4 linked regions of the Diceros bicornis minor genome follow. The protein of the gene in region 1 interacts with the protein of each later gene in a pairwise test. Links are inferred from orthologs where the notes say so. Each region holds a gene or a part of one and is shown in the gene's direction. Other genes may lie near its edges. The genes, in order: UBE2L6, RNF144A, ARIH2 and RNF144B.

What was found.
Region 2: the proteins of UBE2L6 (region 1) and RNF144A interact in a two-hybrid assay, tested with the Homo sapiens proteins (2 studies listed by BioGRID and IntAct). The link is inferred for Diceros bicornis minor from reciprocal best matches to the Homo sapiens genes UBE2L6 and RNF144A.
Region 3: the proteins of UBE2L6 (region 1) and ARIH2 interact in binary tests that used the Homo sapiens proteins (3 or more experiments, as listed by UniProt). The link is inferred for Diceros bicornis minor from reciprocal best matches to the Homo sapiens genes UBE2L6 and ARIH2.
Region 4: the proteins of UBE2L6 (region 1) and RNF144B interact in binary tests that used the Homo sapiens proteins (3 or more experiments, as listed by UniProt). The link is inferred for Diceros bicornis minor from reciprocal best matches to the Homo sapiens genes UBE2L6 and RNF144B.

The regions. Positions count from the first base shown.
Region 1 is NC_080770.1:16,365,511-16,372,548, forward strand, and holds the start of UBE2L6 (ubiquitin/ISG15-conjugating enzyme E2 L6), read left to right. Parts: upstream 1-4,020; 5' UTR 4,021-4,089; coding exon 4,090-4,116; intron 4,117-7,038. UniProt on the Homo sapiens protein: Catalyzes the covalent attachment of ubiquitin or ISG15 to other proteins. Functions in the E6/E6-AP-induced ubiquitination of p53/TP53. Promotes ubiquitination and subsequent proteasomal degradation of FLT3.
Region 2 is NC_080751.1:72,669,543-72,677,030, reverse strand, and holds the start of RNF144A (E3 ubiquitin-protein ligase RNF144A), read left to right. Parts: upstream 1-4,478; 5' UTR 4,479-4,691; intron 4,692-7,488. UniProt on the Homo sapiens protein: E3 ubiquitin-protein ligase which accepts ubiquitin from E2 ubiquitin-conjugating enzymes UBE2L3 and UBE2L6 in the form of a thioester and then directly transfers the ubiquitin to targeted substrates.
Region 3 is NC_080741.1:50,191,489-50,198,859, forward strand, and holds the start of ARIH2 (E3 ubiquitin-protein ligase ARIH2), read left to right. Parts: upstream 1-4,363; 5' UTR 4,364-4,452; intron 4,453-7,371. Other genes in the region: SLC25A20 (mitochondrial carnitine/acylcarnitine carrier protein), read right to left, coding at 3,536-3,640.
Region 4 is NC_080753.1:49,217,201-49,224,909, reverse strand, and holds the start of RNF144B (E3 ubiquitin-protein ligase RNF144B), read left to right. Parts: upstream 1-4,706; 5' UTR 4,707-4,811; intron 4,812-7,709.

The DNA.
Region 1 (7,038 bases):
AACAGGTGAGGTAACTTTAGTACCTACAAGGTGCCCCTCATGTACACAATCTCATTTTATGCTCACAATAAACAGACAGTAAGTCAAGCCTTGAGGCCTCTTATTTTTGGTATATCATCTTTTAATTTTTTAAAAACATTTTAATTGAGATATAGTTGACATACAACATTATATTAGTTTCAGGTGTACAACATAATTATTTGATATTTGTATATATTGCAAAATGCTCATCACCGTAAGTCTAGTTAACATCTGTCACCATATGTTGTTACAATTTTTTTTTCTTATAAGGAGAACATTTAAAATCTACTCTCTTAGCAACTTTCAAACATCCAATACAGTATTATTAACTATAGTCACCATGTGGTTCATTATACCCCCAGGACTCATTTATTTTTTAACTGGAAGTTTGTACTTTTTGACCCCCTTCACTCATTTCACCTACTCCTCATCCCCTGCCTCTGGCAACAACCAATCTGTTTTCTGTATCTATGAGTTCGTTATTTTTTTTGTTTTTTGGGTTTTTTTTTTTTTAGATTCCACATATAAGTAACTTAGAGGCCTCTCTCCTCCAATCTTTTGTTATACTTACAGATGAATATCTCTCCTACTTAATGGTAAAGACACAGAGTTGGCCTCAGCCCTTCCCGGGGCCCCCAGAGTGCTCAACACAGGGTCTTGCATAAGTAAGCGCTCAGTACATTTTTGGAATGGATGAATAAACACCAATGACTAGATCAGAGAGAATTAAAGAGCTCTATTGAGGAAGATAGTGTTGCCATTGCTCTAAGGGAGCAAACTCAGTAATCTCTCCCTCCAAGCCAGCACATTCGATCCTGGACGGGCACCTGCCATCATTTTAGTATTTATTATTATTATAACTATCACTTATTGTGCAAATAGCAATTCATTACTCCTCACATCCACTATTATTAGCCCCATTTTACAGATGACAAAACAGAAGCACAGACAAGTTAAGTAATTTGCCCAAGTTTATTCAGCCAATAATAGTGGAACTGGGATTTAATCCTGAGTATTTATTTCTTGGATTTATAGATTTCAAAGTTCCTCCACTTCTGTGAGCTTAGCCTCACAGGGGTCCTGGGAAGCAGGTAGAAGCTTCTACGTCCCACCCAAGGCCATGCTGCACTGGGGGGCAGATGTGGAACTAGAATCCGGGTCTCCTTCTGACACACAAAGGTCTGCATTGTGGAAGGACATGGAGACCGCGCATGCAGGCCTCCCAGCTGTGTGAGAGTTTAGGATCCATCCCAGGATGGGGAAGCTGGGCTAAATCCAGGACTCTGGATTCACTTCAGGGATGCAGAGTTTCCGAAGGGAAAGGAAGGAGAACCACAGAGCAGTGGACAGGCTTTGCTCCACACTGTAGAACCACTTTCAGTTTCTGTATACACTGCCACCTCACTTTTGCTCATGCTGTTCCCTCTTCTTGGAACACCCTCACCCCATATTCTTTTTTTTTTCTTTTTCTTTTTGTGAGGAAGATTAGCCCTGAGCTAACATCCATTGCCAATCTTCCTCTTTTTTTTTTTTTTCATGTTTTAATAGTTTTTAACATTGTGAAATTTTGGGTTGTACATTTTTGTTTGTCCTTCACCATATACATGTCTCCCTTCACCCCTTGTGCCCACCCCCCACCCCCATTGCACCTGGTAACCACAATACAGTTTTCTCTGTCCATGTGTTGGTTTATATTCCACACATGAGTGAGATCATACAGTGTTTGTCTTTCTCTTTCTGGCTTCCTTCACTTAACATAATACCCTCCAGGCCCGTCCACGTTGTTGCAAATGAGACGATTTTGTCTTTTTTTATGGCTGAGTAGTATTCCGTTGTATATATATACCACATCTTCTTGATCCAATCGTCAGTTGAGGGACACTTAGGTTGCTTCCACTTCTTGGCTATAGTGAAGAATGCTGCAATGAACATAGGGGTGCATAAGCCTCTTTGGATTATTGATTTCAGCTTCGTTGGATAGATACCCAGTAGTGGGATAGCTGGATCATAGGGCATCTCTATTTTTAATTCTTTGAGGAATTTCCATACCGTTTTCCATAGAGGCTGCACCAGTTTGCACTCCTACCAGCTGTGTATGAGGGTTCCTGTTTCTCCACATCCTCTCCAACATTTGTTGTTTTTTGTCTTGGTGATTATAGCCATTCTAATGGACATGAGGTGATATCTTAGTGTTGTTTTGATTTGCATTTCCCTGCTGATTAATGATGTTGAACACCAATCTTCCTCTTTTTGCTTGAGGGAGATTCAACCTGAGCTAACATCTGTGCCAGTCTTCTTCTATTTTATATATAGGTCACCGCCACAGCACAGCTGACGAGTGGTGTAGGTCCACACCCAGGATCTGAACTTGTGAACCCGGGCCACCGAAGTAGAGTGCACCAAACTTAACCACTAGGCCACGGGGTTGCTCCCCTTATCATGCTTTGCAACTCACTTAGATTTTTATCTCTTCCAGGAAACCTCTGTCCCTCTCTGAGGCAGGATCAAGTTGACCCTCCTCAGGCTCCCAGAGCACCAAATGATTCCTGATAGGCTTGTGCTTACTGCTTTGCATTAAAAACGCAAGGGCTGCATTCTTTCCCTCTGTCCCACCAGTAGGAGAGCTCATCAAGGGCAGGGACCCCACTTTCTCATCGCAGTGTTCCCTAAAGTCAGTGTCTGGCACTCAGTAGTAGATGCTGGTTAACTGAGATGGTTCAGATGCCTCATTCCCTCATCTCTACCTATGTTATGGGATTGGGGACAGTGGCTTATTCATTTCTGGCATGTAGAAGATGCCCGGATAAAGTTTATAGGATTGAATTAAACAGAATTAATCATTCTGCAAATACATCCCACATCTGAGCTGAGAAGTCATTTGGCTCCAAGACACTTAGATAAAAACTACATGAAGTAGTGAGTTCAGAACTCAAAACGTGCTCAAAATACGCTGGTTTCTCTTCTCATTTGGACTGAAAGGAGTAGGGTGAGGAAGATGGCTTCAATCCTCCCAAGGAGACTCATTTTTACTAGCAGATTCTTCCCCAGACGCTGCTCCGTGTTCAGGAGCTGCAATTCCACGGTGGCCTCAGCTTTGGGCTGGCGGAAGGGGTCTCTGTCCCTGGAGAGAGGGGTGGAAATTCCTGCCTATGTGTGCGGGGCACACAGTAGACCTGCAGTTTGTAATGGCCCAGTGGTAAAATAAGGGAAGCTCCCCCACTCAACTGTTTCCCAAATCGTCATATAGTAGGCACTTACTAAATGCTAAGCTTAACCAGGGACTAAATGAAGGGTCGACCGAATCCTCAAAGCAAGAGAGACTGGGCCCAACAGCGCCCCCTTGCGGGGCTCTGCACCAAGCAGCCACCTGGGAGAAAGGTCCTTGCAGTCTCACCACCGAATGCTGGACAGCACAAAGGATCCCAAGCTGCCAGGGGAGGGGTCCTTGGAGGGGAGATAGTCTACCGTGGCCCCCATCCATTTTTAGAGATGGAGCACTGGGCCCAGAGAGGGAAAGTGATTTGTCCAGGGGGCTCCAGGAATTCGTTGAGGGGGCTTAGGGCGGCGGTCTGATGGAGCTGTATTTGCATACCAAGAGTTTTTTATTTATTTAGGGAGAGTGTATATTTGGGGCGCTGTGGGAAAGCTGATGGAGATGGGGGGGCCTCCGGCGGCGGAGCTGGAACTAGAACCCGGATGGGCGGACCCCGGCCCCGCGCCGCGAGCGCTTGCTGCCTGGTGCGCGGCGCCCCCCAGCGGGACGCAGGGATCTGGCACCGCCGCGCGCTCCCGGGCCCGCGGCGGCTCCCGACAAAGAGCGCAAGTTCCGGGGATCGGAGCCCACCGCGCCGGGGCCCAGGCCGGGGCGCAGGCGGATCCTCCCCTCGGCGGCCCCTAGTCCCAGCAGAGGCGGTGGGGGGCAGGACTGTCCGGCTCCCGCGTACGCGCTGGGGGAGCGGGGCGTGGGCGGGGCTCTCGGGGGCGGGGTCCCCCGGGCGGGGCGCGCCGAGTCCGCCGGTCGGGGCACAGTCTGGCTCAAGTCCGCGAAGCCCCACATTCGGTCCCGAGATGTCAGCGAGCAAGCGGGTGGCGAAGGTAACTGCATGTAGGATGCCCCCTTTCTCTTGGCTCCCCTCGCTCTCCCATTCCCTCCTCCCTCCATCCCTCCCCCGGCTCTCCGCTCTCTGAGCGCGTTTATCTGGTACCAGGGCTGGCTGAATCTCTGTCATCCCCGCCCCCTCCCCAGAGGAGTGGGTCTGCGAGAGGCGCCGGAGCTGGAGTTTTGAGGGGTGAGGACACATCAGGCGAGGGTGTCGCTGGCGCCCTGAGCTGTGCTGGGAATGGGGATGAGCCAGCTCCCCCCAAACTGGTTTCAGTTTCATTTCTCCTGCCAGAAACTTGTGGTAACAATTGCGTGCGTCTCAGGTGCGGGAAGGGTTCCTTGGCGTCTTCTTGGAGCCAGGCGCTCTGCTGGGGGTAGTGGTGGGTGGGTTGTGAACTGAAATAACCAGGAAAAGGTCCTTGCCCTGGAGTAGCGCACGCCCCGCCCCATGATTTGGTACCCACATCAGCGTCCCGAGAAGTATGGGATACTGAGTAGGAGTCGGGAGCAAGATTCCCTGGGTATTCTCGGTAGGAAGAGATGCCAAGGCGGTCCTGGAGCTGTCCTGGAGTAGGTGGCATGCATTCATTCGTTCTGCAAATGTTGTCGAATGCCTACTGTGTGCTGGCTCCTGTTCTAGGATTTAGGGAGGCAGAGACGAACAAAAATCCTGCCCTCGGTGAGTTCATTCCAATCAGGGACACAATTTGAAATGAGGTCTGGAAGGATGGGGAGGGGGCGATTTCCCCCAAGAGCGGGGAAAACCCAGGGTGTTTGGAGGGCTGCGGTGCAGCCAGGAGATGAAGATAGACCGGGAAGGGAGGACAATCCTGGTGAAGTGGGTCTGACACCTCCCAGGCTTTGAGTCTCTCAGCAGTGCCCCTTCAATGTACGGAGTTGGGGGCAGGCCTGAAGGGGGTGAAGGAGGGCCTGCTACGCTCAGCCTCTGAGAAGAACATGATCTCGGATTGGGGCACCCAGAGCAGGCTCAGCTCAGAAGAACTGAAATCTGAAGGTTGGCAGCAAAATGGGGCAGAGAGTCTTTCCAGCCAAGTGGGAAGGAGCTGGGAGCCAGTATTTGTTGCATTGGCACCATTAAGTGCCAGGCAATTTACATTAGTTATTTCATCGAATTCTCTCAGCAACTCTGTGAGATAAGTCATGTATGCCCATTTTACAGATGAGGAAGTGGAGGCTCAGAGAGAATAACTTGCTTGTCCAGGGTCACCCAGTTGGGAGTGATGGGGCTGGGATTTGAGCCCAGGTGGATGGGGCTCCCATCTGCAGTTTCTTTCAGTGAGCTCTGTACTTTCGTTTTCTGTTCTCTTGAGTCAGATGATTTCCTAACAGGCCACAGGAAAGAGCCGTGTCCCCTAGCTCGGGTTTCAACATCATCAGGCTTGGGGAAAGTTTTGGCAGAACTCATCCATAACAGATAAAGTCCAAGTGTTCCTAGTTATAGTGAAGTCGGGAAAATGTGCATTCCAGAGCCTCTCTGTTCAACCTGGGGCTTCCTTCTTGCCAAAGAGTCACAGATGATGCTAGAACTATGACTTATGGTAGCAGATACTTCTAGTGTGGGGTAAAAGGTAAATGAGAGGTCAGACACTCTGGGCAGAAGGTGCAAGAAGCAGTTTGTTGTATGAACAGAGATGGAGTATGGGCTGAGGGATAGGAAATGGGGGACAGGCATGTGTTTCTATGTTGGGGGGCAGATAAAGGTCAGACAGGACACAGTGTTAAAGGACTCCTCTCCAGCTGTGGGCTGGAGCTCTCTCTCTGCCTTTGTTTGCACTAGGGTTTCTCAACCTTGTCACTATTGACGTTTTGGGCCAGATAATTTTTTGTAGGATGTTTGTCAGCCTCTCTGGCCTCTACCTACCAGAGACTAGTAGCACTTCCCCCATTTGTTACAACCCAAAATGGTTCTAGATATTGCCAAATGCCCTGAGAGTGGGGGTAAAATAACCCCTGATTGAGAACCACTGGTTTACACTCATCTGGTGTTCCAGAGGAATATGACCTGCCCTTGAGTGTCTTTTTATCTGTTATTGGTCTTTTCCAAAAAAAATGGTCTGTTGCCCCACAGGATGGACCCCAAAAGGGGGAGAGGGGTTCCTTGGTCAAATACATTTGAGAAGTACTGCATGCTGTGGGCTCACATCTTGGAGGTTCATGATACACAACAGTATACTAAAGGCTTTGTGAAGTCCTGCAGTAAAGAAATCCGTTTAGCTTAGTGTTTCCCGATGTACTTGACTGTGGAACCCTTTTTCTGTAATAATTATTAATCTTGCATGGGACACACTGTACACATTTGCTCTAACTGGGCCTATGCCTTGGTACCTCTTCCCTTCTCTGCACCATGGGCTCCTATTTATTCTGCATGGCTCAGCTCACAGTGTCACCCTCTGCAAAGCCTTCCTGCTCCCCTCTCCTCTCCTTCCCTGTTATGTATCCCCACATTATTCACATAATCACATTCATGTTGCTTCCATTACTCCAATGAAGTTCTGGAGAGTTGGGCCCTGTCTTAGTCAAGTGTCAACAGAGGATACTCAGGAAAGGGCTGTCGGGAGAATTCAGTGATGTCCAGGTGACTGGGCCACATTTCTGGGAAGGCGAGTCACTCCTTGTCCCCTTGTTTCTCTGCGGAGTTCTCCTCTGCCATGGGCTGCCTGAGTCATTTCCCTGCCCCAGCCCTGGTCTGGAGGAGATTGACAGGGATGGGGTGATGTCTTTGCTGCCCACACTGCTTTGAGCACTGTAAGGACATGTCATGCTGGATACTCAGCGGAGGCTACGGAAGGAAGGGAGAGAGGGAATTAGGAACTTGTGACTCCTCGGGTGAGGACAAGAGGATGGAGGTTAAGTACCTCAGTTTCAGGAGAAAAGGCTCCTAAGAGAATTTACTC
Region 2 (7,488 bases), on another chromosome or scaffold:
CTATGATCACTGTGATGGGGACGGCAAGGTAGAGGTCTTGTAACCTTCTGTCTGCCTCAGCCCGGAGGTGGCCCTCCTGCCCACAGTCCATTGAAAAAAATGAGTCACATGCCCTCACCTAACTGCATGGGGCTGGGACATGGGGAGAAGCACATGGGTACTTAGTGAGCATTAACTGTCTGCCCACAATTAAGTCCACGTGATGTTGAATGTAATTTAATCATTCCATTCCAAAGCCTTTTAAAATTCCGTCCAGCCACAAGGGCCATATTCTATTGATTACTATAGAAAGGGAGTGTAATGAAACATGAAAAGAACTCTGAATTAGCTAAGAACCTCAAGTAATAGCACCATTTATGCCACTAGCTAGCAGTGATCTTGGAACTGTCAAGGGCCACTTTAAATCTCAGTGTTTCCATACTAGAAGTGAAAAGATCAGACTCAACTTTCTCTCTGGTCTAAAGGTCTATTCAGAATCTACAGCATTTGCCTCGGAGCTATATAGGAAAGCTAGATAGCAGAGAGTTGTGGACGACAAGATTCATTTAGTTCATTCCACAAGTATTTATTAAGTGTCTAGAACTTGTCCTTCCTGTGCTGGATATGCTGCTGAGCAGGACAGAAAATGTTTCCACTGTCTCGGAGGATGCCAGGAGAAATATTTTTACTTTTTTATTAACATAGTAACCTTCTCGTTTACTATCATTTATTTTACCACCATTGTATGGCATTTTAATTTTTATTATGACACTGGTTCACTAAATTGTAGTCACGCATGGGCACCTTCCAGATACTTGCATTAGTTTGCTAGGTCTGCAGAAACAAAATACCATGGACTCAGTGGTTCAAACAACAGAAATTCATTCTCCCATGGTTCTGGAGGCCAGAAGTCTGAGGTTAAGGGATTGGCAGAGTTGATTCCTTCTGAGGGCTGTGAGGGAAAATCTGTTCCAGGCCTTCGCTTAGCTTTTGGTGGTTAGCTGGCAATCTTTGGCATTCCTTGGTTTGTGGAAGCATCACTTGATCTCTGCCTTCATGTTCACATGGTGTCCGCTCTGTGTGTGAGTCTGTCCTCAAATTGACCTTGTATAAGGACACCAGTCATATTGGATTAGGGCCCACTTTACTCCAGGATGACTTCATCTGAACTCATTATATGTGCCATGACCCTATTTCCACATAAGGTCATATCATTAGGTGGTGGGGGTTAGAATTTCAACATATGAATTTGGGGGACACAATTCATCCATGGCGGCACTGTTGTCAAGTGACTGCAAGGATGAATTTCAATCTTCACTTCTCTTTCTTTCTTGAAGTTTTGTTTTTCTTCCTTAAGCTATTATTGTTTGTTATTTTGACCACACATTTTATTGCGATAGTAATGTAGGTTGGCTTTTTTGCATCTTTTCTCCTGGTGTTCTAGGAAAATAGCTCAAGTCTTGCATTTTTTCTAGCTCCAGTAGTGTTTGCAGAGCTGAAGGCAGAGCTGCCTGAAGACAACCTCTCTGCCTCCCATCTTACATGGATGCTCCACCCACAGAAGAGTTATTTGGGATGTCTAGGATGGAAAAGAAAGGCAGGAGGCCTTTGAGGGGATGGTGGCAGGCATGTGGACAAGGGAAGCTTTCCCAAGAAGTTCTGAGAGTGGCAGGGACTTGGCATTGCCCTGGGAGGTGGGGAATGTCTCAGGCCTCCTGGCCCACCTGGGGAGCTGTGCATCTGGACGAGAAGCTGTGTGCAGCCTGCTTGAAAGAGATGGCAGGGCTTGGAGGAGGCTGTCACTGAACCTAGGGATGGGCTGAGGATGATAGGTTATGTCCCACATCCCAGCACCATGAAATCCCCGAGATTCCTGTGTGTCCCAAGGGAGACAGTCAGAACAACGGTGACATTTAATTGCCTGCTACCCTCTAGAAATAATGACATTTAAATTAATTTTAAAAATTAAAGAACTGAGAATTTTCTGTGCTTATAGATTGTGTGATTACAAATTTGTACAAACTCCATTGTCAAAAAAGCTTTTATTTTGAGCCATGAGTGTGAATCTTGAGCTCCCCTCAATTTTATGTCTAGACTGGAAACTAGAGAATGGAATCCCATTTCTTCAGCCTCTGGACCATTTACAGAGACACTAATTTTCTGGTCTGTTTAGCATCTTGCCCATAGTAGGTAATCAAAAAGATGCTTGTTCAATGAGTGAAGGATGAGTCACAAGCACTTAGGAACAAAGGGTATCTTTTAAAATGGACTTGACATGTCAAACCTCTGAGTGAGATGGTTCAAAGTCATGACTCGTGCAGGGAGTTGGACTGAAAATCAAGCAGTGATGAGTGGAAATGACCTTGAGAGCCACAGGCAGCTTGTTGGAGAGAACTGGGACGGCTGCCCCGAGGCAGAGCTCAGAGTAGGTGATTTCACTCCATTTATTGAGCACTTAGGATGCTCAAGGCCCTTTGGGGAATGCATAGAAAAATGACTTCATCACTGTTCTACAGAATCTTAAGATCTAATAAGAGACAGTAAATACCCAAAGCATGAAGTGTGACAGATGCCATGACTAACAGACACAAACTAAATATTACACAAGTTCAGGGATCCGGGAGTAGGGAAAGTGGTGACATTGGGAAGACTTCATAGAGAAAAATCACCTTTGAGATGCATTGTGTGGACTGCTGCAAATTGGATTATCAATGATGATGTCCTCTTTCCCCATCTCCCCAACAATGATTGCTTTAACCAAGACAAACGAACATGGGAATAAGGTCACACACGTGTCTCTACCTAAGTAGTTACAAGCCTCGATTACACAGTTGGGTAAGAGATTGGTTTTGCCCCTCAACCCCGTCCCTGCCCACTCCAGATGCTCCTTCCCAGCTCCTCCAACTTGAATTCTATGCCATTTACCATAGAAATGTCTGCATCTCAGTGTGAACTGATTCACCACAGAGCACACGGGATCACCTCCACTCCCTGTGTATCTGCAGTCATCATCATTCATTTAACCATCCATTCATAAGCAGTATCACACCTGTACTTTCCTGGTACCACAGTCAGAGTATAGGAGGGATGTATTTTCCATGAAGCTCGGGCCTTTATGCAGAACCATTTTCATCTTCTAGTGAGAGGGTGGAGTAACCAAGTGTTAGGATTCTTCCCACTGGGCCCTCTTCTTGAATAATGCCATTTCTACAAAGAATTTGACAGAGACATCAGAAGGCAAGTGCTCATTCATATCTTTGAGGAGGGGAAATATTTACCAGAATAACTTCTCAGTGTAGATGAGACAGATTTATATTTTTAAAAAAGATGTGTATGTAGCAGGGGAAGACAAATTATGCAGAGTGTGTCAAGATAGTTAAGAATCTTGTAGTGTAATTGTCTCAGGGAAATGAGACAAATAATAGCTAAGGACCACGAAGTTCCTACAATTTGCCAGCTATGATGATAATGCTTTATACATAGTTGACTAGTTGACTTATTTAATCCCTCCCAGGATCTCTATGATACACATACTGTTACCACCTGCATTTTTCCAGATATGAAAATTGAAGCACAAAGAAGTTAAGTAACTCACTTAAGGTCTCAGGGCTTGTAGGTGATAGCATTAGAAGTCAGAGCCGACAGTGTGGAGGGTATGGTGTTAAGGAAGAAAGATATTATGGCAGGTTTTCCCGTAATTCTCGAGAAAAGAGTCTATGCATTGATGGAGGAATTCTTTCGTAGACACCGATAAGCTCTGTTCAGATACGCGTGCCTGCCAGAAGTCGAATTGAACACTTGCGGAACTTCTAGTAGAGGGAACGGCAAAGATAAATCTTATAGGAATTCTGCCTTCAAAGATCTGACTCTAAAAAGCTAGAACCCCTAAGAATAGGAAATGAATTGCTATGCCTGGATCTCGGGTATCCACAAAACTGAGGGACCCTCCACGTTGCCCCCTCTTTTCCATCCCTCAAAGCAACCAGGTATTGGCACGGAAAGACAGTTCACGTGACGCTGGTATAGAAAGGCCCTCAGCCTTCATCGCAACGTCCTCATACGACAAGGCACGGAGCTCAGGTTCTGGGAAGCCCAGTGGCGTGCTCCTGTTTGTCTGGTCCGTGGCAGAGCCGGGACCTGACCCCAGGCACTGGTGCCCAGCCCGATGCTCCTATCACCTGGCTAAGAGGGTTTGATTGGGTCACCTATTTCTTTCCTAGCTTACTGCTTTCCCCCCGCAGAGTGTGGGCATCAGGGGTCCGTCTTCCGGCGGCCGGACAAGGAACCTCGGGTTCGCCTCAGTGGCCGTCGGCTTCTCGCGGTCCTCGGGTGACCAGGCGCCTCCCCGGGCCTGCGCGGCGAGGGCGGGGCGCGGGCGGACGGCCGGGCGGCAGGGGGCGCTGCGCGCCGGGCGGGGGCGCTCGGCCGAGCCTGGGCCCCGCGTCTTTGTGCCGCTCGCCGCCGCCCACTCTCCCCCCGCGGGCTGTGCGCCCCGGCTGGAGGGCGGGCAGGGAATAAAGGGCGGCTCCGGGCTGGACGCGGGCGCGAGGCGGCGGGCGGCGGGCGGCGGGCACCCGGCCCCGGAGAGCGGACACCGCCACCGGACGGCGGACAGCGGGCACCGGACGCCCGACATCGCGCGGAGCGCGCGCAGCCCCGCCCGCGGCCGAGCAGGAGCGGCGGCCCCCGGGGCCCCGGCCGCGCGGGACCAGGTGGGTGACGCGCGTCCCCTTTGTGTCGGCATGACGGCCGCGGGGCGCGGCCGAGGGACGTGGCTGTGCGGAGCCGGCCTCGGGCTCGCCCCACGCCGGCCCAGCCGGGTCCCTGGCGCTCGGATCGGGGCGGGCCGAGGGTGGCTGGCAGGGTCCGCGGATGGGGACCCGCCGGCTTCGTGCCGAGGACTCCACCGTGGCCCTGCCGTGCCCCTCGGTGGCCACAGCGCCGCGGCCGCTTGGGAACCTCGGGTCCCTTGTGCAGCGCTGCGTCTCTGGGCGCCGGTCCGGCGGGCGAGGTGGCAGACAGGGGCCTCTTTTGGGTGGGGGGCCACCCGCAGGCCGGGGACGACGACGTCTCGGAAAGGGCGAACGGCCGGGGCGTGGGGAGGCGGCGGGCGGGTCAGTCTGGCCGGAGCGGGCCGGGTGCCGTGGGTCCTGCGCTTTGCACATCCAGGCGCCCAGATGACCGCGGCCGCTGTCTTCCTCCCTCGAAGCCTTCCTTTACTGAGGGGCGTGTGGGGGAGTTCCCTGCGGGTCTCCCCCATCCACCCTCCAGCAGAGGCTCCCCAGCTCCCCCGCACCGTCCTGGGCGCCCAGCACTCTTCACTTGTGGAAACCTGAAGGCTCAGGATCACGGAGGAAGGGGTTACTTGTACCGTAATGATCTACATAGGCAGGTCTCAGGATGGTCAGTCCTAAAGTTCTCTCTCTCTTTTTTCCAGTCAAAAAAAAAAAAAAAAGCCCATTCAACAAATATCCTGTACTTTCCTTGTGCTCCGTGGAAGGCAGGGTAAGGGAGAAAAGCGAGATAAGGCCCCAGGGGAGTATCCCGGAGTGGGTCCTGCTGCCCTGGTGGGAGGGGGATCTGGTCCCTGTACTAGAAAGAGACCCCACATCCTGCTTTGAACAGTTATGGGAAGGAAGCACTTTCCTGGGAGTGGAGCCTGGGGATCTAGTAAGGACAGGGTCCAGTGAATCTGGCCAGGGGCTGCCCTCAGGGGAGAGGTTAGCCTGCAGAGAAGATGCCTGTGGCGCTGTGGGAGTTCCCAGGACGGGGAGGCAGGAGGAAGAGGCAGGGCTGCTTTATGAGGAGGAGTATTGAGTCAAAGCTTGAAGCGGGGCAGGTCCAAGGTGGTAGGAAGAGCCAGTGGCCAGAGGGAACTGCCCAGCAGAGAAGGAGGGTGGGAACTCAAGGTCTGTGCTGGGGACTTTCCCATGGGCCTGGAGCCCAAAGGCTCCTGTGATTGTATTCCCTCCCCCAGTACTAATAATAGGGACCTGATCTCTTGCAGCTTTCTAGTGCCTTTTTAATTTTTGTTTTTATTATTTTTTAAAGAGTGCAAAGGGATTATGACTTGAGAGGTCAGATGGGGACAAATCATGAAATCTTTGAATTCCAGGCCAAGTTGGGTCTTGATCCTGTGGCAGTGGGAGCCATTGATGGTTTCAGAGGAGGAGAGTGAGTGAACTGAGCCCTGCTTTAGAGTGATTAAGGCAGTGTTGAGGGAAGGGGGAGTGTGAGCTTTGGAATCAGGCCCCCCCCCCACCTGCACTGCTTTTCAGTGGGTCAAGCATGGATTGAGGACCTCATGAAAAAATGGGATACAAATAAACTAATTTTACTGGCATGGAAAATTTCCATATTCAGCACAGTTGGAATCAGAAAGTTCATGTGTTTAAAGAGGCCCTGATTCTAACGTCAGTACCCTGGAAGGGGAATGAAGGGCAAACTGAAATGCTGGGGGCAGAGCTGCAGCTGGCGAATGAATGATGTGGGTGCCCACAGGCGACTCTGGTGCTTCTCTGTGGACTTACTGTGGTTTGGGACTTGGAAGGGACCACACACACTGTTCAGTTGAGGCTGCTGGTGTCCAGCGGGTGAACGTGCCACTCAGCCAGACAGCGGCAGGGCCAGACGCTAGGAGCCACGTCGTCTGTTTTTTCAACTGTGGTTCATAATTTGGCCCCGCCGCCTTCTTTTGTTCAAATTTCTCCTCCTCTTGGGATCCTTTCTCTCTGGTAGTAGAGACAGGGAGAGACTTGTCCTCCTAGATTGAGAATCACAGAGCTAGATGGTCATCACAGATTCCTAGCTCAGTCCCCTCATTGTGACCTTGAGGACACTGTAGACTCGGAGAGGAGAGGTCAGGGACCCCAGCCACACAGAGAGCTGTGGCCGGCCTGGGACTGTCTGCTGTTCTCCTCTCTGCACTTGAGCTGGGGAGGATGGAGACACGCCAGCTAGCTTGGGGGTTTGGTGGTCTGGAGCCACTCTGGATGGTATTGAGCCCTCAGACTCTTTGGGGAATCTGGCCAAGCAAGGACTCCCCCTGAATTCCTGGGGTGCGGGATATCAGAGACAGCCAAGAGGCGATGAATAGCATGGAATGTTTTATTCACTCTGGGTACCTTCCTACCTTGGAGATCCAAGAACCAAGTTGAAGGTGCCTTTCTTTAAGACTAGAAAAGTCAGTTGAGGTAATCATTTCCAAACCAGCCTCCTCTGTCTTTTGTTGCTGCACTACTGACACACGTGAATACCTTTTCTTAATTAGAGAAAAATTAAATTGAAGCAACTGTTCACATACCTGCTGGGAATTAGGGCTGAAGGACAGAGTTTGTACAACTCTCTGACCCAGCTGTGTGACCTTGGGCAAGGGTCTTCACCTCCTTGCATGCCCCCAGTTCCTTCAGCTGTAAGACTAAGGTGTTGGTTTAAGTGATTTCCAAGATCCTGAAATAAAAATGTGTTGATTTAAAGGTCTTTTCCAGGAGAATCAATATTTTAGAACTA
Region 3 (7,371 bases), on another chromosome or scaffold:
GAGGCTACACCATTTTACATTCCCACCAGCAGTGTATGAGGATTCTAATTTCTCCACATTCTTGCCAACATTTGTTATTATCTGTCTTTTTGATTGTAGCCATCATACTGGGTGTGAGGTGGTATCTCATTGTGATTTTGATTTGCATGTCCATGATGGATAATAATGTCAAACATTTTTCATGTGCTTATTGGCCATTTGCATATCATCTTTGGAGAAATGTCTATTCAGATCCTTTGCCTATTTTTTTCCTTCTCAATTTTTTTTATTGTGTTAAAATACACATAAAATTTACCATCTTAACCATTTTTAAGAGTACAGTGATATTAAATATATTCACATTGTTTTGCAACCATGACCATCAACCATCCTCATAATTCTTTTCATCTTGTAAATCTGAAACCGTATACCCATTAAACAATAACTCTCCATTCCCACCTACATCCAGCCTCTGGCAACCACCATTCTACTTATCGTCTCTACGATTTTGACTACTCTAAGTATCTCATATAAGTGGGATCATACAGTATTTGTCTTTTTGTGACTTATTTCACTTAGCATAATGTTTTCAAGATCCATACATGTTGTAGCAAGTGTCAAAATTTCCTTCTTTTTAAGGCTGAATAATATTCCATTGTATGTATATACCACATTTTGCTTATCCATTCATCCACTGGTGGACACTTGGGTTGCTTCCATATTTTTAGCTACTGCGAATAATGCTGCTATGAAGATGGGTGTATAAGCATCTCTTCGAGACCCTGCTTTCAATTCTTCTGGTCATTTACCCAGAAGTGGAACTGCTGGATCATATGGTGATTCTATTTTTAATTTTTTGAGAAACCACCATACTGTTTTCCACAGTGGCTGTACAATTTTACAGTCCCAACCACAGTGCACAAGGGTTCCAATGTCTCCACATCCTTGAGAACACTGGTTATTTTCTGTTTTATTGATAATAGCTATCCTAATGGGTATGAGGTGGTATCTCATTGTAGTTTTTATTTCCATTTGCCTAATGATTAGTGATGTTGAACATTTTTTCATGTGTTTATTGGCCATTTGTATATCTTCTTTGCAGAAATGTCTATTTAAGTCCTTTGCTCATTTCTTAATTGGATTATTGTCTTTATTATTGAGTTGTAAGAGTTCTTTACATATTCTGGATCCCAGCCAACATCTGCAACCTCACAAGAAACCCTGAGCCAGACTACCCACCTAAGCTGCTCCCAAAATTCTGCCTCACAAAGACTGGGAGAGTTAATGAATGTTGTTGTTTTAAGAACTAAGTTTTGGAGTAAGTTGTTACACTGCAATAGATAACTGATACACTCAGTTACTTTTGCAGTCTTTTTCCTGGCTGCTTTTCCTGCTCAGAGTTCGGCTTCCAAATCTTTCTCAGGTTGCTATCATACTAACCTCTCTAAAACACCATTTTCACCCTGCTGTTCCTTTACTTCTTTAGAATCTCTCATTCTTGTATTTGTTAGGGCCTTACATGCCACGCTAAGGAAATGAATCACTCTCTAGGCAATGGAGGTAACGTGCAAGTCTGAGGAGTTTATAGGACACAACAGTAGAAATGTCCAGAGCCTCCCACCGCTTTACATCCAAAATCCCTTATACTGGCCTTCAGATCCTCAATGGTCAGGTACAACCTCCCTCAGTTAGTAGGGAGAGAGAAATGGAGCAAAACTTCTGACTGATATCTTTTTTGTGATTTTGTATAAATCTCAAACTTGTCTCATCATCACATCAGCCATCCAGGCCAGCAAGAACATTAAAGTCCTCCATGGCTGGTCTTATCTTGTGTGGTCTCCCACCGAGACTCCCACTACCAAGCCTATATCTTCCTTCACTCCTGCCCTCTCCACTCCTGGTCTCCCTACTTCTCCAGTCAGAACTCAGCCAGCCCTTCGCCACCTGCCATAGAGCCTTTCCAGGCTCCCACTCAGAAGTGCCACAGCTCTTGCTTTCTCAGACCACAGCTAGTCACCTTGGATCTCCGAAAGCACCTCTAGTCCAGGCTTTGATTGGAGTCCATCTGGCTCTCTGAGGTCAAAAGGACAGCAGTCAGCAATTCGTGGTTTTGGTTTAAGCTAAAAAGAGGCTTTCTGGCTGTTGAAAATGCCAGTGAGCATTTCCAGTCATTTACACTTCAGTACAGAGGCCATTGGGCCTCCCTAGGAGTGACATCTCATAGGGAGGAAGGGCAAGAGGATACAGAGTTAGAAGCAACATTTGTATAAGGCAGCAAACAAGGGTTTAAAAGTTTTTTCTTTAGAGAGGCCTCAGATGCTTGGAACTAACAAGCTCTCTGCCTACATGGATCAAGAGCAAGAAGAGAGACAAGACAATTCTTCTCCCTTACTAGACAGTGCTGCTTAGAATGACCACTGTCTGAGAAGCACTAACACACACATTTACCATCAGCTGAATAAACATCTGATTTGTTTCACAGTGCCCCAACCAGTCCGGTTGCTTTAATCCTGGTCTTGGCATAGAATGACCCTGGCTCTTCTCCTAGGTTAAAGGTAGCAAAGAGCTTGCTGCCCAAACCTGTCAAGAGTAAGTGTCCCTAAAGCTATTTCCCTGTGGAGGAAACCCCATCTGACATTCTAATAAGCCCTCTACACAGGTTTCCCGCTCTATAAGACTCATGTCTATTCCCCACAGGCCCACCCTAGCCATGATCTGTCAATTTCCTCCAAGTGTGTGTCCAGAAATAAGGTTAGAAAACTTGGATGAAGGTTTGAATGCTAAGTCACAGGGCATGGACTTTGGTCTCCAACAAGACAGTGCTGAAAGTGTTGCAGTGGAAAGAGTCGAGGCCTGATGTGAGGAAGACCAGGGAACAAGCCCTAATGAGTTTCCTCCTTTCTAGAGCCTCAGTGTGACCATGGCTTCCTCACCTGGGAGTTGTGAGGATCAGCCTGGCCCTGGGCAAAGTTGGTCACTTGCTCTCCTTGGAAGGGGCTCAGTCTCTGAGGACATCATTGCTTCCCACAGGAGGCCACTCAGGGTAATGTGAGGTGACAGGCTAAAGATGGCCAAGCTCCCCTCTGGGGCGGGAAAGGAGCGAAGAGATGGTGACAAGGCACTCTGGCAACAGAGGAATGTGTCAAAAGACATCTCTAGAATAATCCAGCCTCTGTCTTGAGCTTTCTTCCTGAGGCGGGCTTTACAGGTGACCTGTTTCAATCTTGCTGATACTGTTAAGGTTTGCTGAAATCAGAGCTTTGGGGAGGCACTTTTTCTTTCCCACCCCCAAAGAAGTGGTGCAAGGCCAGGAGAGGCTGCCGGACAGAGAACTTTTGAGCGGTTAGAAGCCGCTCACTTTGCGCGGTCCGGCTCTTTGGGACGCGAGGAACAGCTTCCTCCGACCCCCGAAAGGGGCGAAAGGGAGATTCGCTAGATTTTTCTGGGAAGCTCCGACCGGCCCCCTTCTGTCCGAGCCCACGTCTCGACGCAGACCCTGCTTTCCGCGCCTCGCCCGGGCCTCCTCCCTCCAGCCCACGCCCCAGCCCCCTCGCACCTTGACTGTGTCCAGCGGGTGTCCTACGAACACCAGGCACATGCCGCCAAAGCCGCCGGCCAGTAGGTTCTTGAGCGGGCTGATGGGCTTCGCCGGGTCTACCATGGCTCGTCCGTCCGTCAACGTGCCTGTCGGTTCCCAGGCCGCCCCGCTCTACCGCCCCAGACGCAGCGCCGGCGCCGCCGACCTTTCACCCACTTTCATGTGGGCGGGACATGAGCCCAGGGCAGGTCGGGAGGAGGGCCTAGACTGCCTGGCCCGGCTTCCGCCATGGGCAGCTGCTTCCGGCGGAGGACCCGCCCTCATGGGCGTGGCTTGAGGGAGAGGGGCCGGCCGTGACACTGTCTGCGAGTTGTTTGGAAGGGCCGGCAGGTGGCCTCGCTCTTCCAGGAAGTCGTCCTGGATTTGAGTGTTTCCTCCTCTGGGCTCCCATTGCTCCACTCACTCCGCAGAAGTCGATTGCGCTCTGCTGTGTGCCAGGCGCCCTTCTAGAGCTAGTAGCACAGCACACGGGGCCTTGTCCTTGTGGAGCTTAACAATGACAAAGACCATAACAAAGATAAGTGAAAAATGTGTAGTGTATCAAGTGGTGATAACTGCTATGGAGAAAAATAAACCCGGAAATAGGGTTAGAGAGTATGAGGGGTCGAGTAATTTGCAATTTTAATTAGGTGAGTAAGGGATTCAAGACCTGAGACGGTGAGAGAGTTCTGTCTATAGACTGCCATAGAAGGTCCCTCACCCTCCACCCCATATCCTGTCCATATGGGGTGGAGGGTGAGGGACCTTCCAGGCAGAGGAAAAGAAAACGCAAAAGCCCGGAGATGTGCTGTGCCCTGCCTGTTTGAGGAACCACAGGGAGGCCTTTGTGAACAGAGTGAAGGAGAGGAGGAGGAGTAGCTGGTGAAGACATGGAGGTAATGGTGGCATATCAAACTGGGTTTTGTGTGCCATTGTGGGGACATCAGCTTCTCCTCTGAAGGAGACAGGAGCCATTTTGGGATTTAGAGCAGGGGAGTGACATAGTCTGACTTATGAATTGCCAAGATCCCTCTGACTGCTGGGTAGGAATAGACTGTAGGGAGCAAGGAAGAAGCAGGGAGCCTTGACAAGGCTAAAGGTCATGGTCAGAGATGCTGGCAGGAATCAGGGCATAGCAAAGGAGGTGGTGAGAAGTGTTCAGATTCTAGATATATTCTGAAGAAAGAATCTAAAGGAATTGTTAATGAATAGAATTTAAGGTATGTGAGAGAGGAGTTAAGGATGATGCTAATATTTTTACCTTATTGACTCTAGGTGGACAGTATCCAAGTATTCACTATATTATTCTTTCATCATTTCTGTATGTTTGAAATTTTTCAGGTTAAAAAGCTGTAGCAGGTACCTCACTGCCAAGCTGACCTGATAACAGTCTTTCTCTGTGGGCACTCCCAGGCTAGAGGGAAGCTAGGAAAGGGGAATATGGACCATGTGTGCTGGGGGTGGAAAGATGAGTAACAGGATCAGGACTGGGATCAGGAAGTGACTGGGTCTGGCTGGTCCAGAAAACCTGTAGGGGAGTGGAGGGCAAGGAGGCTGGGACAAGACCCAAAAGCCTATCTACTCTGTGCTATAGGCTTTTTCTAGGAGGTGATGGGGAACCATGGAAGAATTTTAAGCACAGTGGTGACATGATCAGATTTGTTTTAGGAAATCTATTTTGCATGAATGATTTTGTGTCGAGATAGACTGGAAGCAGGGAGACCAGTTAAGAGAGAATTACAGTGGTCCAGGCAAGAGGCGGTGAAGGCATGAACTGAAGCAGGGATCATAGAAGGATGGAAAAGGGGATAGAACCCAGAGGCATTACCAGAAAACCTGCAGCAGCTCTGGGTTTCAGACACACTGCAATTGCAGTGCCCATGGCACATCGGGGGACATACCTGGTCAGTGTCGGGTATACAACTTGGGAACCTGGAGAGAGGTGAAAGCCAGGGACAGAAGCCAGGAAGTTTTCAGCATAAAGATGTATATATGACCCCTGGAAGACTGTACTATGGGAAGAGGGGCTGGCATGGAAGGAAGAGCTCCCAAAGCAGAAGTTGCTGTTAGAGTTTTAGAAGAAAACAGAGAATAGTGCCTTTGAGTCCAAGGGATGAAACAGTCAAATGCTGGGTAAGCTAGGGAATTTTAAATGCTCCTTAGGTTTTTTTTGGTTGTTTTGTTTTGTTTTTGTACAAGGAAGATTCACCCTGAGCTAACATCTGTGCCAGTCTTCCTCTATTTTTTGTATGTGGGATGCTGCCACAGCATGGCTTAATGAGTGGTGTGTAGGTTCACGTCCAGGATCTGAACCAGCGAACCCCAAGCCGCCGAAGTGGAGCACACAAGCTTAACTATATGCCACCAGGCTGGCCCCCTCATTAGGTTTAACTATTAGTCATTGGTGACATTTAGAAGAAGTTTTCCCATAGTGTTGACAGTGGTGGATTGAATACTGAACAGGCAGCAAGAAGGCAGAGGCACTGAGAGTCAATTACTGGTTCAAGGAGCTTGGCAGGGAAAAGAAAGGAGCAATGGGTTAAAGGGTTTAGATTTCAGTGTTTAAGATGAGACTGAGGCTGAAAGAAATATCTAGAAAGGAGAAAGTGCAGCTGATAAGACAAGGTCCTTGAGGTGCTGGGAGTGGTATCTGGTGTGTGTGGCATCATCTGACAAGCTTCTTCTAAATGCCCTGAAATTTCCAGGGCTCTGATTCTGAATCTCTGAAATTGAGTTCTGGCACAAGAGTGTTTAAAGCTCTGTGGCTGAGTTTGAGAAGCATCCATTGTTAAGAACCTCCAAGATAGGGCCGGCCCCGTGGCTTAGCGGTTAAGTGCGCACGCTCCGCTGCTGGCGGCCCAGGTTCAGATCCCGGGCGTGCACCGACGCACCTCTCCAGCCATGCTGAGGCCGCATCCCACATACAGCAACTAGAAGGATGTGCAGCTATGACATACAACTATCTACTGGGGCTTTGGGGGGGGAAATAAATAAATAAATAAAATTATTAAAAAAAAAAAAAACCTCCAAGATAGAAGGAAGAGTGTTCAAGCTAGGTGAGGAGACAGCTCACAAAATGTAAAGTAAGGTTGCGTAACGCCTAACACACAGTAGGTGCTTAAAAAGATGATTGTTGAGTGAGTTAGAAAGTGGGTTCAAAGGGCTTTAGTACAGCTGAGGAGAAGAATCTCAGACATTGGAACAAGAAAGGGCTGTTAGGAGAGAGCTCAGGTACAAAGTGGGTTGTCAGCTCTCAAGGAGGCCTGAGGTGTCCTCCTGACTTCCTACATTATCATCTTTGTTTCCCACAGATTATGGGGAATTTCCACCATGAGAGGGCAAGACTGTGTTAGTATCCAGGCCACATGTTTACTGAGTACCTCCGATTTGCAGAACTCTGTATTCATTGCTGGATTGACCTTAGCAGTTTTATTGGACAGAAGGTCCAAGTTTCAGGGTTTGGTAATGGGACCTTGTTTCTCTCATTTATGGCTTATAATGCTCTGGCTGCAGAAGAGGAGCTAATTTAGAGTCAATCTGCACTCAGAACAGCTTCAGGAAGAGATGGTGTTTCAGGAAGATCTGGGCACCTCCATGACAGATGTCAATGTGGACTCTACTCAAGCCCACTAGGTTCTATTAAATAACCTCATAGGGTAACCAATAATCCACTAAACAAATGGTCTTCCTGCCTCCTCATTTTATCAGCCTTACACATAGCAAGAAAATTTACCTAAATTTTATCTGACTATGTCATTGCCTGGCCAAAAATCCTCCTCAGCTCCTCATTGCATCAGAATAAAATACAAGTGGTT
Region 4 (7,709 bases), on another chromosome or scaffold:
CTCTGACAATGGCCAGGGAAGACTATTCAAAGTAAGTGGTAGAAGAAGGTGAGGGAAATGGTGTGAGACTTAGACAAGTTGGATAACAAAGGATAAGTGGTTACCAAATTTTGGCCCTAGAATCTAATTTTGCTCCAACTTTAGCAAGTACTATTTGTAACACATTTCATTAATATATCCTTCTCAACTGTTCCATGGAATAAGATCAAAGAAATAGAGAAGCGTAGAGCTTTGGTATTATTTCTCTTATTCGCTGTTAAAATAAGGAGATCATTTCTGTTGAAGGGGGCTTTTCCTCTTATAGGACTGACATTCAGTGCTTAGATTATATTTAATGCCATCGCTGTTGGTGGAATCATAACATCAGACGCAGAAAAGTGTTTTCCACTGCAAGTTGGCAGGAAATCCTCAACAGTGTCACAAGATTGTAGTGTTATCTTAGAAAATAGATATGTCTAACCTTAAAATATTTCTATAAATCTTATTTTGAATCTAGACTTTTATAAATAAAATATTTCTTTTTAGCGCTTATTCTTCATTTAAGGGAACTAGGTTTGGGTGGGTATCTGTCCCATAGGCAGCTTGGATTTAAAAAGTTAAATTTAGAGTAAACAGATGTTTGCAAATTAGGATAAGAAAAAGATTTTTTAAAGGTGATGCTGTCTCCTAGTAATTTTTTTTGGAAAAATACATTTGTTTTGTCTCTCTCCCATTTACATCTCAATTTAATGCAGTGGTTCTCAAGTCGGGGAGGGGGTATTATGTTCACAGGGGACATTTGATAATGTCTGTAGACATTTTTGGTTTTCACAACTTGGGGGAGGTGCTACTGGCATCTAGTGGATAGAAGCCTAGGATGCTGCTTAAACATCCTATAATGCACGGGACAGCCCCCAAACAAAGAATTATCTGGATGAACACATCAGAAGTGCTGAGATTGAGAAACTCTAATCTAAAGCAGTGTACTTTCTTTTTCTAGCAATCCACTAAAACTGCTCTCATAAAGACCAACAATGATCTCCATATAGGCAATCGAAAGGCTTCTTTTGAATACTCTTGTAATATTACTTAGTTTCTATGCAGCGTTTGACACTGTTTAGCATCCCCTTCTTGCAAAACCTTTTTCTTTTGACTTGCATGACATCGCTTTCTCTTGGTTCTCCTCCTTTGTTGGCTGTCTTGCATCTGTTGGCCTCTCAAATGTTGGTGTTTTTCAGGGATCCGCCTAGGCCCTTGGTTCTTTCTTTGCACGTGATTTCCTGAGTGATCTCATCCACACCTATAGTATCAATGACCTCTAGATTAATAAAATCCAAATCAATACATTTAGCAACTTTCTCTTTGAGCGTCATACTCTTATCAATTGCCTATTAGATTTCTTCACTTAATATCCCATCAATATCTGAAATTCAATATCTTAAAAGCTAAACCCATTCTTTAGCAAATCTCTCTTTTTACTGATTCATTTAATCGCTTTATTGTCTACCTTGTTGCTCAAGCTTGAATGTTTCAATTCATCTTTGGCCTCTCCTTCTTCGCAACTCCCCCATCAAGTCCTCTGGATTCAAAACCTCTGAATGTCTCATACACATCTCCTTTTCTTTCAGGCCTTATCAGCCCTCTCCTTAACTGTTATAGAAGTCTCCTTACTGGTCTCTCCCTGACGCCTTATCCTTTCCCTTCCTTAAGGAAAAACTAGTCCACCAGACCAGGAATAATCTTGCAGGTCCTACAGACTAGCTAGTGTGTTCGGCAAACATAGATTAATCTTTTAAGACTCAAAACATTGTCTTCTCCATGAAGCGTTCCACAGGTCTCTGAAGTTGCGACTCCTTCCTCTCTCCCCTGCACTGTGTTCCCTTAGTACTTTGTTCATATCTTTATTATAGTATTTATGAAATTATATTCTGATTACTTATTTACAGTCTACCTTTGTAGTAAACATCAAGTTGTCTGCCTCTTTCTGAAGAGCTGGCCTCCTCCCAATCTCCTCAAGTACCCTTCCATCCTCATCCTCAATCCTATGCTAGCCACTGTCCATATAGTTACATGAAGAACTTATGTAGGCATGTTTTTAGGTCATGACCCTGACACCCTGTCCTCCTTGACTGGGCATCTGACCCAAGTAAGGCCAGTAGTCCCCTCCCTGGGAATTTCGACTTGAGAGAATGGAGATGTGAATTGGGATGAAAGTGAATTAGGATAAGGGAAGAACAGAGCTTAGTGATTGTATTCAATCTAGAGAGCATGGCCTAGTAGCAGTGGCATGAACTTTGACTTCAGACAGATGGGTTCAAATTGAGGCAGGTCATAAGACAATTAGATGGTCAGAATGAAAGATAATAGGAATAAAATAGCTCTCTCCAAAGGAGAGGGGAGCTGGGGTACGAGCACACTAGTTTGCTCTTACATAGTAGAAAATTTGGAATATGTATCAAAGTGACTCCTGTGCATCAAATTTTCCTTTAATTTATTCCACTACTCAGTTACAAATTAACATTCTTTTTATCCTTGAACCATATGAGATAGAGTTACTGTATAAAAAATATTTCATAAAGAAAAACCCCAAACAAACCATTTTCTGTCTCTAATTTCTATTTATCTCTATTGTTTCTCAGTTGTTTACCACCACTGACTCTCCTCCCTCCATACCCCCTTCAGGAAAACTTTGTCTCTCTGGTGACTTGTCATAGGACTGAACTTAGATTCCACGAAGGCACGAGGATCTGTACGCTGGTATCGCTGATCATGTGCTCTTTCTAGAGCCCTTCTCCCTGATTCCCTCTCATCCCCACCTCCCAGCCTCATTTGTTCTCTGCCTGCAGCCAGTAATCTTTCTCAAGCAAAAATCTGATCTCATCATTACCTTGCCTATAACATTTCAGTGTCCCCATTTTCTGCAGAATAAAGTGCAATTTTGAAAACATGGCCTAGAAGGCTCTACATGATCTGGCCTCTGCTTACCTCTCTAGTGTTGTCTCTCCATTCTTCCTCCCAGCCACTCCCACTCCCACCCCCAAGAAAAAAATCCCCCAGCCATAATGAGTTTCTTTAAATTCTTTGAGTTGCCACGTTCTTTCTTACCTTTGGCCTTTTCTCCATGCTATCCCCACTATAGGAAAACTCTTTCTCCTCCTACTCTCCTTTCCCTGGCCAAGTTACACTCACTCTTCAGGTCTCAGTTTAAAAGTCACTTCCTCTGGGCTTCACATATACTGCCCTCCGTGTGTGCTATCCTCCATCAGAACATCTACTTTTAACAGCCTGTTTACTTGTCTATGCCCCTCTTCAGCTTGGTGAGGGTGGGGATGTTGCCTTTCTTGTTAACTCTTCCATCCCTAGCACCCAGTAGAGTCTCGAACTAGCAAGCATTCAATAATTATCGGTGGAATGAATAAGCAGGCCAGAGTCTTTGTACTGACCATCCCCTACTGCCTTCCTATATCATCTAAGCTGGTCCTTTCAGTTGCAATAACTTGTTTGATGAGTTTATCTTCCGATACCCACCTCCTGCCCAGTAGGGAAACCTGACGATTCTAGTAAGCATCCGTTTTTTCCCCAGACCTCAGATTAGAAAGTTATCTAAATTTAGAAAAGATAATAGATTAATATGGAGTCTCTTTAACAGGTATTTGCATTTACCAGGGCTCTGTAATAAACTGGTTGCTTCTCAAGTTAATTCCTAGCATCCTATAAATTATAGCATGATTGATTATGAATAATGCTACACTGCTTCTAACCTACTCTATAAATGTATATTATATTGATAGGTAAACGAATGAATAAATGGAGTGCCATTTAAGAAGTCATCTTCCACATTCCCAGTAGGGATTAGGTGACTCTCAGCTCCTGCATGTTAGTGATACAGTGATGTTTTCAGGGATCCCTTCGCATCGTTCTTACCTTTTATATTACTCAGTATGGTCTGCCCATTGCTAGTTCGTTCGCCATTAGAAGTCTCTCTGAATACATCCACCTGCTCCTTCCCAGAACTTTGGCTTCAGAGCTGCGTCTCTCCGAAGTGAGAAAGGAGGCTCCGGGCATGCTCAGTAACCAAAGCCAGGTGTAATTAACTTCTCTTGCCCTGACTCCGGGCCCTGACAGGTGGCAGGTATCGACAGTGCTGGCAAGAGACTTGCCCTGTCTTGTACAGTGAGCATATCCTTCCCGAGACCGATCTAACGTCCTGGCAAGCTAAGTTGAAACAGTGGGGACGTCTGGGTTTTTAAAACAATAAAATAGAAGGAGTTGTTTTGGAAAAATTAAAATGACTGGCAGGCGATTCTCAGAACACAATCTACATGAATATCAAGTGTTAAATGATGTTATGGTTAAGATAAATGAGGACGGAGGCAGGGGATGAATGGGAGCAGTGCCTACCTTGAAGCTCATTGGGCAGATCAAAGCTTTTAAAAGGGTTTTTCTGAAATCGCCCAGCCCCAGAATTTCAAGGACCACGATCGCTGCCTCCTTCCTCCAGAGAGTGCGTTCCTGGGGGAGGTGTGTGCGTGCACGCGCTAGGGGAGGGAAGGCTTGGGAGAGGGGCCACCGCTCTCCGGAATAAACAGCAGGGGGAGAAGGGGAGCGCGGCGGAGGGCCGCCGGAGGGGGATGAGGAGGCAGGCAGCAGGGGCGAGGGCCGGAGGGGGCTCGAGACGCGCGGAGGGGCTGGTAGCTAGGAGACCCGAATGCCTCTGATACCTGAACGGCTGCGTGGCGAAGCTGACGGCGGACCCCGAGCGGGCGCACGCCCTCGCCGGTGCCCTGCCCCTGCCGGGTCTCCCTGCTCCTTACTGCGACCCCGCGCGCAAGGTAAGGAGGGGCGCGGGGTGCCACCCTTGCCTAAGCACCGCCCAGGCCCGCCGTCCCGGGTGGCGGTTCGGCCTCCCCAGGCTGTCAGCTCCTTCTTCCTCCCTCGCCCCCTCGCCGGCTCCCCTCGGCGCCGGGCTGAGCCCCGGGCGGGCGGCCGGCAGGGACTCCGACCTCCGCCATCCTCGCTTCTCCTCTGCGGCCCGCGGGACCCCGGTCTCCCCTCCACCCCCACCCCTCCGTTATTCCTCGTGCCCCGGGCTCTGGGGGAGAGGGTGGGGAAGAGGCAGGAGGTCTTCCACTCGCTCCAGGTGTGTGGCGCAAACACCGACGCACCGTTTCCCCCCAGAGTCTGCAGTGATTTCCAGGCTGAAATACCACTCTTTCAAACATACCCCTCCCTTCAGTTACTATCCTGACTTTCGGAGCGGTGGGTGGGGGACGTTGTATATTAACCCTTGGTCAAGGTAGGGTGTACCGTCTTATTTTTTGTATCTGCACCAACAATAGGTTTGAGGTTCTTTGGAGTTTATTTTTCCTGAAAATTAAATACTGTGATAAGTTTACAAGGTTTTTCGGGTGACTACGGTGCTAGAACTTTTTATCGTAGCCTAAAGCAATAGCTTCTACTCAGGCGTTGAGATCCTGATTCAGAAATCTGGGATGTGTGCGTGTTTCTGCGTATTTGAAAAGCGCTCCAGGTGATTGCGATGAACTCTCCCCTCATAATCACTTGAAAGTATCTGTAAGGTCCGCATAGGAGGGAGAGAGGGTACCCAACTGTTGGTAAGCATCACCTGGAAATGGTAGTGTCAATAGAGAATAAAAACGGAGTGAAAGCTGGTTCCCTTCAAGTTGATGAATTTGGTGCGGTATCATTGGTTCTGAGATGGCAGTTTTGGGAAGGGAGAGAGTTAACGCTCATTTGAAACTCAGATAAAGGGTGGAGAGAAACATCGTACATCTAAGAGCCCTTGTTAAAGAGTTAGCTTTTAAACGTCCATTTTTACTTCACAAGTACTCTGGCGATTAGAAAGGACTGAGGCCTATTCTCGTGGGAATCAGAAAATCTTTCTTCCCTATGCTTGCATTGGCTGACTTTGTGTTAGTGACCACTGGCATTTTTACAATGTTGATTTCTTTAAGGCTAAAGACCCTAATGGACTTTGGAACCAGAAGGAGGAATTATCATATAAATTAACTTAGATCCTGTTTACATTCCTAATTATATGAACCAAGCTCTTCTACACTGAATTGGTTAAGAGTGTGTGTAAATTATATTGTATTTGAACTTACACAAATACTAAATGTTTCTCCATCTCACAGTTTGTGTTAGATGTACATCTGCTGCTTTTCATATATATCTGTCTATGTACCTGAACCATTCTAAGTACTTAACAAACTATCAGAGTGTAACCACCAGGGGAAATAAAGATTTTCATTTGTCTGTCTTTTGGAAAATTGAGATGAAGGACTAATTTTTAAAAATACTGTAAAGTAGATATAATATTATTTCATACAACTTTTTATGAAGTGAGATAGATGCTTGTTATGAAATAGGGATGATATTTGGTACCTGCTTTCAAGGATATTAAGGACAAGTAGGAGACTGTAAAGCATTTTGAACTTTTAAGAAAAGAGTCACTGTCTAGGTATTGAGCCAATGTGATTGTTTTCCTGGCAAACTTTTTCTCCTTTCTAAAATTAACTTTCCCCTAGGAAAAATAGTGCAGATGCACACGATTCAGCCAACCAAGTCCAGAAAATATTGTGTTTGAATTTTAAAAGTGACCTTAATTCATCCCTATAGATCTAGTGTTTGCAGCCTATGCCACAAAATATGCAGAAATATTCATTTCTTGCTGACCTTTTCAAAGCATTGCCTTAATGAAGAGTTATGGACAGAGTACAATATTATGTTATGAATGTTGTTGGCTCAGGCCAAATTATATTATTTTCCTAAGGTTTTTGTGTCTATATGTGTACACTGGGTCTGGGACTTACATAATTATGTATATAGATGTAACACATGTTTTTAATAGGAACAAAAACCCACAATATTTTTCTTTGTGGCAGAACACTGTAAGCATTAGGTTTTGATTACTTTTTCATGGAAATTTTAATATGACAGAACTAAAAACTTCAAGGAAATATATCTATAAAGATCTACTTGGAATGAAGGCCTTTTTAATAAAAGATGTTTGAAGCCCTTAGTCTGTGTGCTTAGCCTTTGTCAAGTAGTCCCCCCACTAAGGGTGGTATATCCAATTCTGGCTGCCTCAGTCAGTGGATGATTAGACCCTGCCACTCTTTTCCAGACCTTTAATTTGGTTTGTAACTTGATGCTTCGCTGACCCCACACTCTCCCTGCCATGCTAGCTCACAGAGGAATTGCTGGCACTCTGGATTGAATTTTTTTCCCTCCCATCAATTAGAACATGTTTGCATTGGTTGCAGAATGCGGTTACATTTTTAGCTCAGTATTCGAAGAAATCCCTTTAGCCATGAAGAGAGTAGCCTTAGTGAAGCCTGGATCACAAATTGCCTTATTTCCTCGTGTTATGTTAATTTCCCAGTGATTCAACTATGTGGAAATAATAGAGTCATAGAGTATTAAAATTGGAAGGCACTTTAGAAGTCATTGAGACTCTGATTATTTCTTTCTACAGATGAATACTGAAACACTCATAGCCTTAATCCAAACTATGAGAGTAGACATTAAATTTTATATTCTTTCCAGTTCTTGTAGTAATGAGAATTTTGCTCATTTGAAATTAATTTATATATGAGTTCAATAATGTAGTATTGGCAGCAAAGTAAGTTGCAAATCTCAGCTAGATTTCCAGTGAAACTCAAAGTGTGACATTAAAGGCAGTGTAGATCATTTACAAAACCCATGAA